3 linked regions of the Xenopus tropicalis genome follow. The protein of the gene in region 1 interacts with the protein of each later gene in a biochemical or structural test. Links are inferred from orthologs where the notes say so. Each region holds a gene or a part of one and is shown in the gene's direction. Other genes may lie near its edges. The genes, in order: chaf1b, asf1a and asf1b.

What was found.
Region 2: the proteins of chaf1b (region 1) and asf1a form a complex in vitro, tested with the Homo sapiens proteins (2 studies listed by BioGRID and IntAct). The link is inferred for Xenopus tropicalis from reciprocal best matches to the Homo sapiens genes CHAF1B and ASF1A.
Region 3: the proteins of chaf1b (region 1) and asf1b form a complex in vitro, tested with the Homo sapiens proteins (2 studies listed by BioGRID and IntAct). The link is inferred for Xenopus tropicalis from reciprocal best matches to the Homo sapiens genes CHAF1B and ASF1B.

Annotation. Positions count from the first base shown.
Region 1 is NC_030678.2:12,925,872-12,929,525, reverse strand, and holds part of chaf1b (chromatin assembly factor 1 subunit B), read left to right. Parts: intron 1-401; coding exon 402-486; intron 487-1,017; coding exon 1,018-1,111; intron 1,112-2,253; coding exon 2,254-2,323; intron 2,324-2,442; coding exon 2,443-2,531; intron 2,532-2,658; coding exon 2,659-2,821; intron 2,822-3,638; coding exon 3,639-3,654. UniProt on the Homo sapiens protein: Acts as a component of the histone chaperone complex chromatin assembly factor 1 (CAF-1), which assembles histone octamers onto DNA during replication and repair.
Region 2 is NC_030681.2:73,630,807-73,633,899, forward strand, and holds the end of asf1a (histone chaperone ASF1A), read left to right. Parts: intron 1-1,204; coding exon 1,205-1,381; intron 1,382-1,906; coding exon 1,907-2,119; 3' UTR 2,120-2,542; downstream 2,543-3,093. UniProt on the Homo sapiens protein: Histone chaperone that facilitates histone deposition and histone exchange and removal during nucleosome assembly and disassembly.
Region 3 is NC_030679.2:134,227,266-134,231,563, reverse strand, and holds the start of asf1b (histone chaperone asf1b), read left to right. Parts: upstream 1-1,473; 5' UTR 1,474-1,522; intron 1,523-4,298. UniProt on the Homo sapiens protein: Histone chaperone that facilitates histone deposition and histone exchange and removal during nucleosome assembly and disassembly. Cooperates with chromatin assembly factor 1 (CAF-1) to promote replication-dependent chromatin assembly.

The DNA of each region.
Region 1 (3,654 bases):
CCAATATACTTAATCCAAGTCATTATATGTAAATATAACTGATATTACAAGCAGTATCTGTGTGACATTTTCTGCACTGCTGGCTCTAACCCCTAAAACAATGTAGCAGAAGCCAGCTGCTTAATGAAGCTGCAAGAAAAACTGACTTCTGCTACATTGTTTCAGTGTCAGAACCAGAGAAAAGAAAGGGGCAGGCAGCCTCTGCTTTCACTGGCAATTACATTTCCACATCAATATAAAACCAATGAAAATGCGTAATGGAACGTTGCTTAGAATTGTATTTTCTTATGCTGGAGTTGTCCTTTAAATAAAGGATTTACCTAATTATGGTTAAAATGGTCTTGGGTTGGTGAATGGCAGCCAATTCTGTGCAGTTCCTCACTCATGTGATTGTGTTTCAGGATAATGCGAGTTTACAAGACGGAGACCAAGAGAGTTGCTTATAACGTGAGCAAGATGGCGTCTGCTCCTGGCGCTGACGGAGAGGTATTGCCTTTATTCCCTCTGTGCCCGTTTTGGCTTCTACAGACTATTCTGTGCCTACACGTGGCTCTACAAGGGCTGATAAAAGCAGCCTATGGACTGAGTACGGGGCCCTTCAATGGGCCTATTCAGTCGATATCTGGGCAGTTTGATTTTCCCATTGGATCAAGGACCACATCAATGCACACATACAGTCCTCAATCCAGCGGGAAAAATCAAAGTGCACAGATATCAGCATAGCAGCAATTATGATCCAAGGTCAGACAATTGGATCAACCCAATACCACCCAACCCAGGGTGGGCATATTGGAGAACGATTTGCTTGTTTGGTGGCCTCGGCAGACAAGCAGATCTTGCAATGTATGGGCCAGCTTCAGACTTGCACTGATTTCACCTTTGTAACATATGTGCTCTGATTAGTGGCCGATTAGCAGTATCCTTGCATGATTGGCTCACATAGATCTTATATATTTTAGTCTTTGTCTCCCCCCTGGGGCGTGTCAGAATTATTCATTAGTTTTGTTTTCATGGCAGGTAAAAAGTTTCCGCATGTACCATGATGACAGCATGAAGTCCTTCTTTAGGAGATTGACTTTCACTCCTGATGGATCTCTGCTTATAACCCCAGGTTTGTACCCTGTGCCTCTCTATGTGTCCCACACCTGCCATGTCATTCTCTATGGGATGCTCCCCCTCTCCCCAAGTAGCATTCATTATTCTGTTCTAGTGCAATTATATCTGAGAATAGATACCCTCTTCAAGGACCAGCAATCTGTGGGTTCTGGCAAATGCCAGAGGGGCTGCTGTATGATGCCGTAGACAGTCACTATTTATTGGGCTGGGGAGTGCTGTTTTGGCCTCCATGTACTTAAAATGCCAGGGTCTGTTTTTAGTCCCAGTCCAGGCTGGTAGTCACAAGCTGCTAATGAGTCCGGCTTCATGGTTACACATTCTGTTGCATGGTAACGCGTGGCTGCAGTTTATATAAACAAAGTTGCCCTGCACTGGTAAAAGTTGTGTGTGTGCCTCAGAATCCCTACTATAGTTTATATAAACAAAGCTGCTGTGTAGCCCCGGGGGCAGCCATTCAATTTGAAAAAAGGAGAAAAGGCACAGGTTACATAGCAGATAACAGATGCGTTGCATAGATTCCCATTGTATTCTACAGAGCTTATCTGGTATCTGCTATGTAACCTGTGCCATTTCTTCTTTTTTCCGGCTTGAATGGCTGCCCCAGGGCTACACAAGCAGGGTATTTATATAAACTATAGTAGGGTTTCTGTAGCAAACACCCCAGCTGTACCAGTGCAGGAATGGCTGCCCCTGGGGCTACACAGCGGGGTATTTATATAAACTATAGTAGGGTTTCTGTAGCAAACACCCCAGCTGTACCAGTGCAGGAATGGCTGCCCCCGGGGCTACACAGCGGGGTATTTATATAAACTTTAGTAGGGTTTCTGTAGCAAACACCCCAGCTGTACCAGTGCAGGATTGACTGCCCCCGGGGCTACACAGCGGGGTATTTATATAAACTATAGTAGGGTTTCTGTAGCAAACACCATGGGCATATTCTCTGCCAGCATTTTTCAGCAGGCAAATAAGTACACAGATATGCAAACTAGTTGTTGCTAAATTTTTACTCCCATGATCCTTAGTTAAGGGTGGTCACAGGCCCAGACAGCTGGAAGTTGTGCAACTGCACAAAAGCAGCAGGGGAAGCAATTCAGTGTCAGTGTTGCGTTCAGCTTAGCTCTGTGCTCTTGCTTTCAGCTGGCTGCGTGGAATCCGGGGAGTCGGTCATTAACACCACGTACGTCTTCTCTAGGAAGAACCTAAAGCGGTAAGTTCCTGGATGTATAACCTGTGATTGCCAGCATCCTCCCAGCAACAATATCAGAAGGGTTGCCCAGCTGAATGAGCCCCTTGTCTTCTGATATATTTCTTTCTTTATCTCCCTAGACCAATGGCACATCTCCCCTGCCCAACAAAGGCCACCCTGGCTGTGCGCTGCTGTCCTATTTACTTTGAGCTGAGACCAACTGTAAAAGGTATGATCCTAGGGAGCATCACAAAGCATGCTGGGACATCCAGAGATTAAACCTCTTATCCCAGGAACCGGGAGGGGAAAATGTCAATAACATGAAATTAAATTATTATTATTTATTTTTTAAAAAGATGATTCTGGGGAGTCCCAACCGCAGGGTCTCATCACCCAGCCATACCGTATGGTGTTTGCTGTCGCCTCAGAAGACGCTGTTCTATTCTATGATACACAGCAGCTGTTCCCTTTTGGCTACGTGTCTAATGTGCACTATCACACACTGAGCGATATTTCATGGTATGTACATGTACAGATTATCATATCAGGGCACTAAAGGCTCCCTGCCTATACCATACCCAGCCCCTAGGTTACATGTTTTACTGACTGAGAAACTCTGAATATGACCAATGTATAGGGGCAGGTACTACAGTTTCCTACATGTCCTTCCAAGCACCCAAAAGACCTTGAGCTTATAGGGTGCTACATTGAACACCCCCATTAAAAGGGTGCTTCACCCCTTAATGTTAACTTTTAGTATGTTATAGAATGTTCTATTCCTAGTAACTTTGCAATTGGTCTTTATATTTTGTATTATTTGCTTCCCTCTTGTACATCTTTGCAGTAAGGCTGCAATTTTACTATTATTATTACTTATCATTTTACTCTCCTTTTCATATTCAAAGCTTTCCACCGGTGACTCCTATTGTTGCTGGTGAAAAGCTGTTTCGGAGTGGTAGTCACCCGTGATAGCAGAGATCTATCTCTTAGCCACTGCCACCCTAACCCACTAACTGGCTGCTAAGGTAAACAAGACCCTAACAACCAGATAGCTGCTGAAAATCCTAACTGGAGTACATTTAAACAAACTGCTAAATAAACAAGACCATAAAAAATGAAAACCAATTGCAAATTGTCACCAAATATCAGTCATGCTAAAAGTCAATTTAAAGGTTAACCAGCCCGTAGTAAAATTTTAGTTTCTATAGTTACCGGTCTGAAAGCTTCCAGGAAAGGAAGAAAAATTGACCATCTGATTTCAAACCTATATTTTCTCCATGTTATCAGTTCTAGTTTCTGTACTTGGGGTTTCACCCTGTGTTTGCCTGTGCCACAGGTCCAGTGATGGCAGG
Region 2 (3,093 bases), on another chromosome or scaffold:
AATAAACTTGTGTTTTTTGCCTGAAGAACTGATGTCTCTGTCTCTATGCTCCTGCCTACCATGACTAATTTCCCCCAAGAATTACGTGTACAGACAGACAGTGTGTCAATATATAACATGTCAAGGACTGCTCCCCACTGAAGTTTGACAGCCACATAGCTAGTACACTTTAAGGGCTTTGGCACACAGGGAGATTAGTCGCCCGCGACAAGGGAGATTTGTTGCGGGCGACTAATCTCCCGATGTACCAAAGCCCTTAAAAGTGTACTTGCTATGTGGCTGTCAAACTTCAAACTTTTTCCTGTCAAATCTCCAGGAAATGCCATCCCACCGGTGAGAATGTAAATTGCCGGTGGGATGGCATATGCAGTGCTGCGATTTCCATTCTCGCCGGTGGGATGGCATTTCGGGGAGATTTGTCGTGGGCGACTAATCTCCCCATGTGCCACAGCCCTTAGTCCCAAGTGTCTAGAAAGAAATGGCATCTTGCAGATTAGTAATGGATAGATATGCACTCTGTAATAAAATTGCAGTGAAATATCTGCTACTTGTGGTACAGGAATTAGTCTGCACAGTGGATGTACTATGTAGTGGCAGCTGTACTACACATTCTGACCAACTAGGCAGAGATGTACAGATTCTTCAGTAACTGGGAAAAAACTAAATATCAAGCCCCACTAATTAATCATATCTGCTTCCTAGAGAATCAATTTTTCTGAAGCTTAAAGGAGAAGGAAAGGCTAAGTCACTTGGGGGATGCCAAAATGTTAGGCACCCCCAAGTGACTTTAATCGCTTACCTTGTACCCCGGGGCTGGTGCCCCTGTTAGAAGAAAACCGCACCAGCCCTGGGTAGCTGTAGCGGAGCGCTTCCTTCTTCCGTGTTTGCTCTGCCGGCAAAATACCTGAGTGAAAAGGTGACTTCTTGTTAAAGTTCAGCTTTTCACCCTACTGCGCATGCACGAGCGCGAACAAGGAAGAGGAAGCGCTTGCTGCAGGCACCCGGGTTGGTGCTGTTCTCTCCAAACAGGGGCACCAGCTCGGGGTACAAGGTAAGCGATTAAAGTCACTTGGGGGTGCCTAACATTTTGGCACCCTCAAGTGACTTTGCCTTTCCTTCTCCTTTAAGGAAGAATCAGTGTGGAGCCGAACAGTAGATTCTGACAGAGAACATTTGTAACTGCTTTGTCTCCATCTTTGTTTAGGCTGATGCCCCCAACTCAGGCCTTATACCAGACGCAGATGCCATTGGTGTAACAGTGGTGCTTATCACATGCACATACAGAGATCAAGAGTTTATCAGAGTGGGCTATTATGTTAATAATGAATATACAGAAACAGAACTGCGTGAAAACCCTCCTGTGAAACCAGACTTTTCCAAGGTAAAGAATTTACAAACTCTGCAATAAATAGTTTGAAAAACAACTGCCAGGTGATGTAATGTTTATTTTGCATTGTTGGGACTTCACATTGCGGATCATGATCAAATGGCACAGATGCAGAAGTGTCACCTAACTGCAGTAATATGGTGCACAACACAAACCCACTACAGTGGCTTCTAATGCCTTCCCATCAGAAATAAAGTGAATCACCGGTGGAAAGGCTTCCGCACCTCTAACATTTCCAAAGTCGCATGTTGTTTCCTACTGCAAACAGAGTCGAGGTCGGCCTGAAAAAGCAAAAGCAGGCATCTTCAAGCCAACCTCTACTGCGTGTGCCTGCATGGTACATACAATTTTACTTTTATGTCCAGGTCAATGGAGCTGGTTAAGGGAGCCGTTCCGCTTCTCTCAGCCTGAAAAAAAAAAAATGCAGGCTGAGGGCAGTGGAACCAACAGTCCATGTACCCTCAACCTAAAAGGCTTTCAATTATCATTTAAATCATTTACATTTTCTCTCTGCTGCAGCTTCAGAGGAACATCTTGGCATCAAATCCTAGAGTAACCAGGTTCCACATAAACTGGGAAGAAAATACAGAGAAGCTTGATGAACTTGAAGATAGTAATCCTCATCTGCATCCAATACTGTCAATAGAAGCCAGACCTTCAGCTTCAAAAGGATGGCCTATGTCAGAGAACTCTTTAAATGTCATGCTAGAATCGCACATGGACTGCATGTGACTTTACTTTTACATCTTTCTACTTTCAAGCCAATGGGAAAATTGCACTTTGCAACACTATTTTCCAATAAATAGGACACCAGGAAACATGTCCTTGGCAGAAACCTTTATCAAAGGGTGGAAACAAAATGTGAACTAGGGGGAAAAGTTTTTAAAAAATCTATTTTTAATTATTTTTGTTTCTGCTTAAGGCAGGTATCTATCAGCTATTTTCCAAACTAGTTAGAACATGCAACTGCAGCACATTTTGCTATTTATTTGGAGATGTATTGTTTTCTGATATTTTGCTGAAATAAATCTATGCTTGATACCACAGACCTGACATATGCACACTGTGGGCCATCCACAGTACATCCTATTTGATTACATAAAATCTATTTCAGATGGATTCTATTCTTACAACAAATAATGCCTTTATAGTTTACTTTCTTGTTAAAAGGTAATTATTTACCAGTTTTGGTTTTATAAACAATACATGTTTTGCATGGTTTTTCTTTTCAAGCGAAAACCAGAGGGTGTTATATCTTTAAAATTTTACAATTGCTAATGCCAAGCAAGCAGTTGGCTATTTAGCCATTCGATATAAAATAGTTTCTTCTACAGTCGGGAAAAAAATATGCAGTCCCTTTGTAAACAACTCTAATCCAGTATTAAAGGACAATGAAAGGTTAATATAAATTAAAAGTAAATCTAAACGCATTCTTTTTAAGTACTTACTGCATATCTAAATTCCCAGATCCCTGCTTGCCTCTCTGAGATATGGTGCTGGCAGCCTACAGCAGTTAGAAGACTACAGTGACATCACTGAAATCTCTTTCCCCTTCCTGTAGGTGCCAGCGGCAGCCTTCCTATTCTCTGAGCATGTGTGTAACTTGATCCTGTCTCCTGGTCTGAGATACACATGCCCACCAGCCAATCAGAAGCGGATCTGGCAGAGGGGAGGGGGGGGAGGGAATGAAACATGTGCAGTATGAA
Region 3 (4,298 bases), on another chromosome or scaffold:
GAAATTCCAAGACGGAAGGAAACAAAATGTATATTATTTATATAGAGTAAGTACAGTTTATTTTGCTCAACTAACAATATAGAAAACAATTTGGACTTATTTCTTAGGGTGACAGGTCCCCTTTAATCCTTGACTAGACATAGCAGAGCCATTTCCCTCTCACACAGCATTAGAAACGATGAATTATGGCGTGAGCGCCTATAAAGGCTGAGGCGGTTACATCCGCCTCTAACAGCCATCTTGCGTTCCTTCTATCATTTTGTTGCACAGCAATTCCCAGAATTCCCTACAGAGGCTGGGGGGGGGGGGGTTAAACAAGCCTGATAGAAATATAAAACTTTATAGCGCAGCCTTTGTTTCTGTATGTATGTATATCTTTATAAAGTGCTACTTATGTACGCAGTGCTGTACAGTAGAATACATTAATACAAACAGGGGGTTATTAAGATAATAGATAAATACACAGTATAACAATAAATACAGATAAATACAAGATACAGTTGCAATAAGATAAGAGTCGAGGACACAAGAGGAAGGAGGTCCCTGCCCCGTAGAGCTTACAATCTATATGGGAGGGGTAACTTACAGACACAAATAGGCAAATGTAAGTGCTGTAGGTCACAGTGGGTGACACTTCAATATAAGTGCCAGTTCCCAGTATAAATACATATACTGCCCACACTGCTGAAGCAAGGTTGCCACCTAAGCAGTAAAAATGATGCTTGATGCCAACCTTATTAATAGGGAATATGCACACAAATAAATGAAAGCCTGTATTTTTTTTATCCAGAAAAAATGCTTAAGGTGTAAATAATGGTTTAGTGCAACAAAACAAATATATGGCAGGAAAATGTTTACCAGTAAGTACCCTACTCGGCCGCCCCTAGTCTGTTTCCGGTTCCGTTACACCCCAGCTTCACAAGTGCGTCATGGTATTTATCAGCGCCCCATTACCTACCCCACGCATTCTTACTTCCCGCGCAATACCTGCCTATCCGGAAGTTGCGTCAGCCTAAGCCGGAAGATAATGCCCGACGCGGGAACGAACGTCAAACGGCGCGGGAAGCAAACACCGTGCTCCAATCAAACGTGAGAGCTACTGACAAGCCCCGACCATGTGACCAAAGCTGGTAGAATCAGCGGCCATCTTTAATGCTGGCAACGACTTCGAACGGCTTTTAGACGTAGGAAGCGAATCCGTTTAATGTACTGGTTTGGTAAGGCAGACTCGGCTGTACGTGGGGGAGAGCCATTATACCCCTGTTTACAGGCTTGCATAGATAGGGGGTGATTATGCGTTTCACACTATCCAGAAGCGTCATTGGTTGTTGCTTGACGGTGAGAGGGAGGGGCTTGCGGCTCAGAGGGGGCGGGGCTGGGGGGCGCGTTTGGAGTGAGGTTGTAAGCGAGGCGCGGGAGACAAAACGGAGGGCGGGAAAGAAGGAGCGGGCTGTTTGTGACGGTTGTGTGGGACGGAGCGGTACAGCCGGGCATACCGGGGAAGGAGGAGACGCCACAACAGGTGAGTGCTGTTTCCTTTCTACTCCGGGCTGTCAGCCCACTCTTACTCCCCCCATGCCCACCTTGCTGGTGAACTACAAGTCTCTGTAGAATATTAACTCGGGGGCCACAGGCTGAACTAATAGTCCCTACCTGTGTGTCCATAATCCCCATTTCCCTGTACGTGTTTACTCACAGGGGCGTGGCTAATGTGTGCCTATAACTTATATAGGAATATACTTGTATAGGGAGCCCTCAGTCTTGCACTTGGCCAACATCCGAAAATAGTTTAATGCTCAACATACAAATTGTATCACTAGTTGGCATAAAGGCTTGCACTTTATTTCTGTTAAGCTTCTGTGTGTCTGTGGCTGCTGGGAGTTGTAGTTCAGCCCTGGGGGCTGCCTGATAGGGGTAACTAACTGATAGGGGTAACTAACTGATAGGGATAACTAACTGATAGGGATAACTAACTGATAGGGATAACTAACTGATAGGGATAACTAACTGATAGGGATAACTAACTGATAGGGATACTTAGTTATGGCTTTGTACAGCTCTGCAGTATGTGTTGGTGCTTATAATAACCTGTTACTATTATTATTGTGAGCCTCCTCCTGTAACCGGTTATTGGATGAAAGTCCTGTCTGAGCCCAGTGTGACACCTATATAGAAATAATTGCTACTTCGGTTAACATTGCTTTCATTGGAATGTGAGTAGCATATTTAGGGGATCCCATTGTTAGTATTGGGGCTCATGTTGGCAGTAGCCAAGTTGGGGCCCGTGGGCCAGATCTAAAGCTGGCCATAGACGCACCAATAACATCGTACGAAACCTGGTTTCGTACGAAATTCAGTGCGTTTATGGCAAGTCGGCGAGTCGACCGGTATCGCAGGAAGCTGCTGATATCTGTCGACTCGCCGACCAGCAACGTCAGAAGATTTTGATCGGGGGCCATAGAAGGCGCCTGACCAAAATCTCCCTTCGGCGCTGAATCAGCAGAAGGAGGTAGAAATCCAATTGTTTCTACCTCCTTACCTGCAGTTTCAGCGCTGAAGGTTAGTGGCGGATCTGACAATCTTTCCTGCGACCGATGGTTGCACAAAAGATCGCAGATCGCCACGTGTGTGGCCACCTTAAAGCTGGCCATACACGTGGCGATCTGACGATGTTTCGTTCAACCATCGGTCGCACGAAACATCGTCAGATCCGCCACACACTATTCAGGGCTGAATCGGCAGGTAAGGAGGTAGAAACAATAGGATTTCTACCTCCTTCTGCCGATTCAGAGCTGAAGGGAGATTTTGGTCAGGCGCCATAAAATTTTCAAACTGGTCCGGTCGGCGAGTCGGCCGATATCAGCAGCTTCCTGCGATATCGGTCGACTCGCCGACATACCATACACGCACTGAATATCATACGAAACGAGGTTTCGTACGATATTATCGGTGCGTGTATGGCCACCTTAAGGGATCTATGTGCCCCCCACGCTCCTCCCAAAGGCCCCATTGGCCCTCAGACATGTGCTATAAGAAGTAACTGTCCCACTGCCTGTAGCGAGTTGAATGTGGCTGGTCATTGGGGTCATTTCACAGTATATCGTACCCACAGGGCTTCCCTTTGTTGCTATAATATGCATACACCAGTAACTCTACCTTGTAATGGGGGGGATCTGAACATGTAATGCATGCTGTAATATGATAACAAGGCTTGAGTAGGAGACATCATAGAATTGTCTGTTAACCTGACAGAACAGTGGGAACAGCACTGCCGGCAGCGCAAACAGACGGCTATTGGGCAGCATTAAAACTTCCCGTGCCATTGCTTCCTACTAGAGAAACGCTCAGTTCAGGAGTTGGCCAAATCCAGGCACCTTTTGCAGGATTCAGCTAAATACTTGGGGGAATATTTATCATGCTGTGTAAAAAGTGAAGTGAAGCATTACCGGTGATGTTGCCCAGGGCAACCAATCAGCAATTAGATTTCAACAGTTAGAAAACCAAAGCAAAACATCTGATTGGCTGCTATGAGCAACATCACTGGTAATGTTTCACTCCACTCTTTACACAGCATGATAAATATACCCCTAGGTGTTCATTCAACCCCTTAGTTGTGTGCCTTTAAAGCTTTGGGCAGCTAAGTGTGACATGTGTTTTTAGTTTATGGAAGGTGACGTGGTTTGAATTTTTCCCATATTTTAAATTCGGTGTTCGTCTAAATGCAGAAATGATTGACTCGATGCATGGCAGGATCTCACTGTAATGTGTCTGCGACTGATTCCAAGGAGTGAAGAGGATATTGAGCGGAATAGAGAGGAGTCCCCTGTTGAGCAAACTGGGAAATCCAGCGACTGATTTGTGGGGTGCACAGCCGAGCTTATTTCTAATTGACTTTCAGATATCAGGATGAATGGGGGGGAATAGAGGCTAAGGAAAGGGTTTGTGCAGTGTAAGGGTGAAGACACACAGAGCTACTAGTTGCAGCAACTTGTCGTGGCTACTAAAATAGACAATGCTGATCATTTACTGATAGTCTGTGTGTTAGCAGAGGCAATTCTCAGTATTGTCTATGTCAGGGGATTTTCTGGAGTTTAGTTGCCATTAAAAATAGCTGCTACTAGTAGCTCAGTGTGTCTTCACCCTTACACACACATAGGCTTCTTGTATTTCTGTTAGAGAAGGGCAAGTACAGAGTATAATAAGTGCCAGAAATGCAATTCAGAATGCAGTTTCTCACAGAAAGACTGCCATACCTTTTCACTTAAAGATATATGCTCTTGAAATGCTTTTCTTTAGGA